Drosophila melanogaster: one gene and its partner. The gene in region 1 interacts genetically with each later gene. Each region holds a gene or a part of one and is shown in the gene's direction. Other genes may lie near its edges.

Region 1 (4,219 bases):
AATAGATAGCGTAAAAAGAAAACTACAAACATGACAAAATCGTGCGTTAGTATGGAAGCATGGTAACAGTGGTAAACGAAAGACTTCAACAAGACACAAACTTGGGGGTGCGAACAACTTTTAAATCCACTTAGAGGCGGCAGCCAGTCATGCAACGCGAGAGCAACAACGTATGATAATATTTGGCAATTCTTCAGTTTAGCGGTTGCATTTGCAACCAAGTTGACCAACGGTCAGTTATTTAACAAAACAAGTTACCTAGCTACTTAGTTTAGTTGAGTTTTCCGAACTCCCGAGCTTTAGTTTCACTTCCAGGCAATTTACTTCTGGTTGTTCCAAATATATAGTGTAGCCAAATATGAAATTCTGGAACTCGTACGCAAAGGCGCGCAAATATTCGAGAATAATAATAGCTTTACAGTTATTTGCGCCGAATACGCGACGTGAATCAGGCGAGCTCCCGTAGCCAACTGAACCACTCGAAGACGTAGGAAACCAGAGAAAAAGAGCTTCCACCAAAAGTGGCAGCAGCAGCCAAATGAGCCATAATAAAAAAAAAACCACAAAAATAGCAGGAAAATGTTTGAAAGCCATAATATGGCCGGGCACAAAATTGAGCTTTGTCAACTCGGCTTAGAGTTTGACACCCCCAAGTCGCGTTTCCTCATGTGCAAAATGAACAAAATTGAACAAAACGGTCGTAAATCACCAGCAGAAATCATTCATAAATTCCTTTAGAAATGCGTAGAATCATTTAATTGACCGAGATGCGCACTAACTGATAACCATTACTTAGCAAGTTATTATTAATATTATTTCATATAATTTTATAGCATGTTTGATAATAATTCATATTAATGTCCCAAAAGGTGAACAAAAAGTAAATACAAAATTCATTTGAAATAATACAAACACTTTAACTATAAAATAACTTTTCATTTCTCTTAACACACTAAATATTTCTTGAACTTTACATCAACGAGTTGAACGACCTTAGAAATAAATATTTCCTTCGCTGTCTATTTCAAACAATAACCCATCACCGCTGGTTGAAAAGTGATCTGAATTTAATGAGGCAATATTTATTAGACAATCCCATGTCCGTCAATGGGTATTATTCAAGTATGAAATCAAGTACTCACAGCCAGCGCTCAAGTTCATGGGATTGAATAAATCAAGCGACGTGATTGACAATCGTAACGATTGACGGCAATGCTGCCGGTAGGCCAGAAGAAGATTTTGTGGACTGTTTCTTTTGGCAAATGAAAATACAAGGTTGCAGCTTCAGTTGTTATGGCTGATTGCGATTTAATGAAAGGACAAGGTCGCTCTTACAGAAATTCAAAACTGGGCTGAAAACATGCGCCAGCACTTTGTAGCACTTTAAGTGCGATAACAAATGGTGGGCATAAACTGGAAATTCTGCTTTAATTTTGCTCAAAATTACTTAATTTTATTACAATCACAGCCTTTAGCACAATTTTATTTCTTTCGTTCTGTAACGTTTTTAGATATATTTTTTTTAACTAAAAGGGCCGTGGGAAGCATTTTGTAAACACTTTATTAAAGGAGGAAGCATTATTTTTATTTTTCTTCTCTTCTGATGTTGGAATCCTTCCCATTTGACATGCATATTTAAATTACAAGTTTTTTAAATTACAAAGTTAAAAATAAATGAAGCCTTTAGGTATTTTTAGATATTTTTAACAATTTCGAATTTAAAAGCTTGATAGAAACTTTTATCTTATAATTCAATCTTTATAATTTATAGTTTACTCTTTATTAAATAAAACCCAAATATTTCTTACAAACAATTTTATACATTTTATTAAAATTTGTATGTTAACATTTCCCGGTTTGAGCTCAGTATTTTCTGTAATTTGTATGTTAACAATTTCTTATTGGAGCTCGGTATATTCCTTTCAGTAGGTATTTTCCCCTGCGCATAGATGGTCACACTAAGCGGTTGCTGGTTTGTTTATAGTTTTTGTCCGCGAATTTTACTTTAACTTTAGCTATAACTAACAATAATGGAGGTGGAATTCAGTAGGGAGAACTTCCTGCTGCCGGAGATGAAGTACGAGTGTGAGTAGTTCTTCGATTTGCAGGAGAATAATCTGTTGCTAAATATTTCATCACATTGCGTTGCAGACCTGGATCACACGGCGGATGTTCAGTGAGTAAGATAACAACAAAAACAACAAGTGTGCCCGTTAGCCATGTGGAGTAGGGTGGTTCGCTATTTGTGAATGAAAAATCCAGATGATCGTATAAACTAGATTCTAATAAGCGCTTTCGTATTAGAATTTGAGATATAGCAAACATTCTGAAAAAGAATTTATTTTAATTTATACATATTTTAAAGCCATTATAATTTTTCATATTTTCCCAAACCTATGTATTATGTTCATAGTTAGGGAATACGGCTTTTTAAACGTCAAATGTATCTGCTTTTTTGAAGATTATATGTAATGCAAGTTTTTTCTGACTTTTATATTATACTACTATCGCTTAAAACAACAAGACTATTATTAAGTAGTAGATCATAAATAATTCTTTTACTACGCCACTAAAAGGCAGCAGTTTTGTATATAAATTATAACTTACGGCTACAATAGACATAATTAATTTACTTAATATAAACGGATGATGTTGGAATCCTTCCCATTTGACAGAATCCACGGATGGGGATCGTCGCTGAAAGAGGCGTTCGAACAGTGCGGAGTGGCCATGTTTGGATATATGACCGAACTGGATTACGTGTCCGTGGAGCAGTGCTTTGAAATCGAAGCGCATGGAGATGATCTGGAGAGCTTACTCTTTCACTTTCTGGACGAGCTGCTGTTCCTGTTCTCTGCCGAACCGTATCTGGTGTGCAAGAAGCTGGAGATCACCAAGTTCGATGTGGAAAACTTCGAGATTTCCTGCCATTGTTACGGGGAACCATTTGAGCTGGGGAAACATCCGCAGGGCACCGAAGTGAAGGCAATCACATACTCGGCCATGCAAATCATTCAGGACGTGGAGGCCAGCAACTACGAGGTGTTCGTGATAATTGACATTTGATCCAGCGGCGATCGCCGGGAATTAAATGTGACTGTTCTGTTTCAACCCCTTTGCCTGTCTCCATTAATCATAAGTGAAATGCCAAAAAACGATATAAAAACCGCTGCATAAGCCCCGAAAAATTTGCAATCTCTCGTGCTGCGACTGCATCCCTTGTCGATGAGGATGACTTATCAAGAAACCACTCGATTGTGCGGCTGCAAATGCAATTAGGACTGGCTTCCTTCTCACCGGTCTGATTCCGGAATCAAGATTTACCCTTTTGCCTTCGAATTTTTTGTGTACTATTCACTTTTTTTTTGCCCACTGCTTTGTGAATTGGCAACGTGTTGAATTCCCAGACAAATGCCGAATTTGTTGTCCTTTCCCAGGCCCCAGTTCAATGCACTTTTTATTCGGCAGCCTTCAGGAGTTGCTGACGCGTTGGGTTGCATTAAAGAATTAAGTTGTACTTCTTTTTGGGGAGTCATGTCGAATAGGGCAGTTAACAATGCAAGTCAAGGCCATAGTTTTAATGTTATGATTGACTTGATTTGTTCGACATAAAGTATAGAGAATGCGGGGCCTAAAAACACAAACATATTTTTTTATCAACAATAATTTAGTTCAATGAATGTAAATCGTAATAAATATCTATACGATTAAGCAATCCCTAATTCTAAATATCAATCCACGACGATATCAACAAATATTAACGCTTTTCAAAAAACCGATTTCCTTTGAATAACGCGCTATTCTCGAATCAGTATTATTCGGATGATTTTCGCGTGAGCCGATGTTATTTAGTGGCCGATGAGCGAAGTCAGCTGGTAACACCGAGCGATTTGTTTTGAAACAGCTGACCGCACCGTCAAAACCCAGAAAGTAAACAACAAAAAAAACATTTGCCGGGCAACGTCGCCCAACATATGGGCCCGTTCTTGTATTTGTGTGGGTGCGTGCGTGCACGAGTATGATGATTTTTCCTTGGAACATCGGGCGAAGAACGGCGAACTGAAAAATATACGCTTTTACAGCTGATTGATATTAAAAAAAAAGCAACGCTGCGGTCGACGAGCCATACGAATGAGCGTGCGAAAGAACAAACAAAGTATGAAGGCAAATAGCCCGCGGACACACACGCACACACAAACGGCCAGTTGGTCGATTCGCT
Region 2 (4,574 bases), on another chromosome or scaffold:
ATTAGTACCCGGGATTAAGTATTCCCGCATCGATAGCTACTGTGGCAATGACGCAGCAGCAGTTCAAGCAAGTTGCGCCCTCCCGCCGTCCCTATCTCTTTGCCAATCTCTTGGACTTGTGCCGCTGAGACAATCATCTAGGCACCTACGCCCGGCCCGAAAACACCCATCTAATGCGGGTCATTCCCACTCTCCTAATCACAACTCCAAGCCATTTGGCCTCGTTTAGTTGGTAAAAGGAACACGGCACTGGTGGCAATCGGATCATCTACGACATTACCACGCACTTTTCGAATTGAAGTCGGAAAACGAAGGGATTGGTTTAAGTACATTTGGAACTTTTTTTTTGGGCAAGATGATCTTATTTTATTGGGAAGAAACCATTTGCGAGATTAGAAGTGGCGCAGTCAAATTGGAAATGCGACCTTGCCTTGTTGTTTGGCAATTGACCTTTCGAAAACTATTCATCTGTAAATCGTGCATTTACCTGTCGACTTCTCCTTTTTGGGAGTGCTGCCCGTGGTCTTGTACTCCTTGCAGTTGACGGAACCCATTGTGTTTAACAGGCGGTTGTTGATGTGGCTCGCAAAAGACGGGGCGTTGAGTATCCTCCAGGATTGGCTGGACGGGAGCTTGCGTATCCTCAGAAGGCCTTCAAAGGCTCGTTTCGTTTTGACCAAGCTCAGAGCTGTGCGAGGGGACTGCCACCTGAAAGTTGAGTGGCCAGTTTAGGAGCTTTACTTTTCACTTAATAACAATCAATCACTGTGCCAAAGCTCGTTATCAGTTAGTTAGTTCCCGCGTGTTAATCATTTCTATTTAATTATTCCTCCACAGCCTGAGTCATCAGCCGCAGATGGATGTGCTGAACTCCCCCAAACGTGTCCGAGATGCTGTTTTTTGCAGCACACACAACACACGTCGTTGTTTATTTGCGAATTGCTTTTAGTCGCCAATCATCACTCACCACTCTCCACAACAACACTAAACAAAACAAAAACAAAACAACTGGAATATCGCGTGGAAGGGAGGATGAGAGCCTGGGAGCGTGCAACAGGTCGGGGGTCCGCGTCTGTGCCGAGATAAGCGAAGTGGAGTCGAGTGGACCAGGAACGCTGCGAGAGAGCCGGGAGAGCAAGAGCCAATGCAATGCGAGGCACGTCTGGCGCGCGTGAACTGCGGACCGCGTATGGCGCGCAACTTCGTCGCTGGATTCGACTGGAACTGGAAGCTTCGTGCCTCCCCAACACACACGCACTTCTGGGCTCTGTGTGTGTCCGTGGACACAGGAACGGTCAAGATACTAGGAGCCAGCCCTACTGTGTAATCGCAACGCTCCCTGTTCAATGCATCTCTCATGTGTATAATGCGATTATAGATGAAACAAGCGCCAAGACTACCTAGACGAAACAAGAAAATTTCTTGGCAGGATAAACTACCTATGAGGTACCCAATGCAGAGCGCTGGAAACTATAACGCTGACCGCAGTTGTCAGCCTTTCCGACCATTCTCGTGTGTTCCACTAACAAAAACTTCGCGACCTTGCCGTCGCCGCACTTCACTTCGAAGCAATCTCCTCCACCAGCCTGTGGCCAGCACCAAGAAGTCGTAGAGGGTAACACATAGCTGGCCTTCTTCGCGATTCGGACCAATGCACTTGGCGACCAACATATGTACCTGTTGGCTGAGCTGAGCTAAGCCCATCGTGCCACAGTCAGTGCCGGCAGAATTGCATCACCGCCAGCGGAACTAGAACAAGAACACGAAATACCAGCGTTTTATTGCGGTTGCCATGACTCTTCGAGTGGAATAACCAGAACGATAAGTAAACCAAATTTTCCGTCACTGCCTTCGTAAGTAATTGGGAAATGGCTGTTCCTTAGACCTGTTGATACGGATAGTACCGAACAAATTGTTGATATCTCGCTATCTCGAGGTAAACATTGTATCTTTGGACACATTGTATTCTTGTCTTTGGTTAAGGAGTTCGAAAATAATGCTCTTAAGAGCGTACACATTCAATATCATTCTATACGCATGGAAGCCATGTCAGGTGTATTATGTCCTAAGCCCATTCCGTCAATGTCTGCTTGAGCGAATGTTGACACAGTCCAGTTATGCGGATAGGCTTATTTTTATCAGACCCAGGGAATGGGACTCTCAAAATACAGTTGAGCCTTAAAAACTCGAAGAGCATTTTCCAACGGAAAGTGGTTTCAATTAAATGTATTAGTTATTAGTTACTTTTTTCTTATTTGCAGCCCTCCTACTTTGGACACGGACAGGCAAAAAGGCCAGTCAAGCATTCCAGTGGAGAAGGAGGACCAAGCTAGCGATTGCCCAATTGCCAAGTGATTCGCCTTCGATGCCTCGGGCCAGTTAAACCACTGCTAAGCTGGACTAGAACAAGATACATAATTGCCTTCGCGATGGCACGTTGCAGATAAGTTAATCGCCTGAAGGCGGCACGTACGACCATGCGCCGGCGGACACTGCACACTTACACAGCCATCTCTAGTTAACTTTTAACTATTGCGCTGGTAATGTATTATTTTGTAAAAGTTCGCTTGTTTACGTCTGGCCAGTGCTGCCGGACCAGTTCGAATGGTGCGCGCCTTGAGTGGTTCCACAGTGGCAGGTGTTTGTTTCCAAGCAAACGCGAGCGTCGGGCACACTGCCCGGATCACAGTGTGCCGTCCCAATCGAGTGAAATGGAGCTGTTATTCTTAGCCCCTGTCATTGTGATATTTGATTGCTCCGATTGTTCTGACACACACTTGGCTGACAACCTGAGAGGAAACCAGACTGAAAATCCCTGAACATAAATAAATTGGGAAAATGGACGCGGAAAAAATGTTGGAGATCGACGGCTCCTACTTGGAGGGCGGCGGGCAGGCCCTGCGCAACGCCCTCAGCCTCAGCTGCATTTTGGGTAAACCGGTGCGCGTGGTAAAGATCCGGGCCAGCCGCCCGAGTCCTGGGCTCTCGCACCAGCACCTGCATGGGCTGAACCTCCTGCGGGACATAACCAATGCGGACGTGGTGGGAAACTACTTGCTCTCCTCCACAGTGGAGTTCACGCCGCGCACCATTTTGGACAACACGTATCGCGTGGAAACGCACACGGCGGCCAGCATTACTCTGATTTATCAGATGGCGCTCCCAGTACTTCTCTTTGCCGGACGCCCGTCCCGCCTGATCGTATCCGGGGGCACGAACGTCGACTTTGCGCCTCCGGTGGAATACATGCAGGAGGTGCTGCTGCCCAACCTAAAACACTTCGGGGTTAGTTTCGACCTGAAGGTGCAGCGGTACGGCTTCTATCCACGCGGCCAAGGCAGATGCCAGTTGGACGTGCAACCCGTGACCAAGCTGAATTCCGGAAAATTAGTGGCTTTCGGCCGCATCAAATCGGTCAGCGGAGTGGCCTACTGCGCCGGCCGCTTGCCGGTAAATATTGCTATTGACATGCAACAGACGGCTCAACGCGAGATACATCGTTTGTGGCCGTCCCAGCAGTGCAGCATCGAGCCGATTAAGCATTCACGCCAGAAGGCATTCCACAACGGAGCCGGCATCCTGATGACTGTCAACACGACCTCCGACGTTGTCCTAGGTGCTTCTGCATTGGGCAAAAAGAGGATCGACGGACACGTTCTCGGCTCAGAGGCGTCGTGCCAACTGGGCGACTACATGCGCAAACAGGTCTGCGTTGATGATTACATGCAGGACCAGCTCATCATCTACATGGCCCTGGCCGTGGGCCGCTCAACGATGCGCACAGGCAAGCTGACCAATCACACGCGCACCGCCATCAATGTAGCCGAGCAAATGACAGGGGTCAAGTTCGATGTGGCGATGGAGCCCGGCGGCCAGATGCTAGTCAGCTGCAAGGGCTTGGGACATGTGAACAAGTTGATTTAACAATCGATAGATCTCTTTACTCTAAGGAAACCTTAAATTAATGTCTACATATATAGAGAATATACGTGTCCTAAAGGCGCCGGAAAATGGCCAGAAAATGATCGCCCTTGTTTCGAACCACCTTAGCGCCCTCCTCGCTGCTTTGGTACAGCTTCGGGGTGATGGGATCAGCATTCTGTGGGTTTAAACGTAATGATTAATGTGTGACTTGGCTGCGTGATCTCGGTTTTGAACTACGTACGGCCTCCTCTTCGGTAAGACGCTCGTACAGCGGATGCTCCTCCATATGTGTCACTATCCACTTGTGCAAGTCCTCAACGTCCGTCATGGTGTACAACAGACCCTGGGTAAGCAGACTAAGCAGTAAGCAGACCGCATTTCGAGTACTTTCAGGAAACTGTTGGACTTACCCCCTTCCTGAGGATATAGGCATATTCGGAGAGTAGAGCCTGGTTGATAATACGCCACTTGTGCTTGGCGCGCTTGAAATGTGGGTCCGGGTAGAGGAAGAACATCTTCTCCAGCTGGCCCTTTACGAAGTAGTTGGGCAGATACTTCATGGCGTTGGTGCGTAAGCAGGCAATGTTCTGGTATGCACCCGTATCCGCGCATCGTCGACGCAGTGCCGCAATCCGGTCCACCACGTAGTC

The links. A genetic interaction does not mean that the proteins touch.
Region 2: of Archease (region 1) and Rtca, changing one suppresses a phenotype caused by changing the other (phenotypic suppression), as found in Drosophila melanogaster (one study listed by BioGRID).

What each region holds. Positions count from the first base shown.
Region 1 is NT_033777.3:21,660,676-21,664,894, reverse strand, and holds Archease (archease), read left to right. Parts: upstream 1-1,922; 5' UTR 1,923-2,030; coding exon 2,031-2,085; intron 2,086-2,151; coding exon 2,152-2,176; intron 2,177-2,675; coding exon 2,676-3,066; 3' UTR 3,067-3,709; downstream 3,710-4,219. UniProt on the Drosophila melanogaster protein: Component of the tRNA-splicing ligase complex required to facilitate the enzymatic turnover of catalytic subunit RtcB.
Region 2 is NC_004354.4:2,070,873-2,075,446, forward strand, and holds Rtca (RNA 3'-terminal phosphate cyclase), read left to right. Parts: upstream 1-1,540; 5' UTR 1,541-1,853; intron 1,854-2,244; exon of another isoform or gene 2,245-2,261; 5' UTR 2,262-2,838; coding exon 2,839-3,924; 3' UTR 3,925-3,994; downstream 3,995-4,574. Other genes in the region: CG4199 (uncharacterized protein), read right to left, coding at 488-554; CG4045 (uncharacterized protein), read right to left, coding at 3,995-4,099, 4,166-4,267, 4,335-4,574. UniProt on the Drosophila melanogaster protein: Catalyzes the conversion of 3'-phosphate to a 2',3'-cyclic phosphodiester at the end of RNA.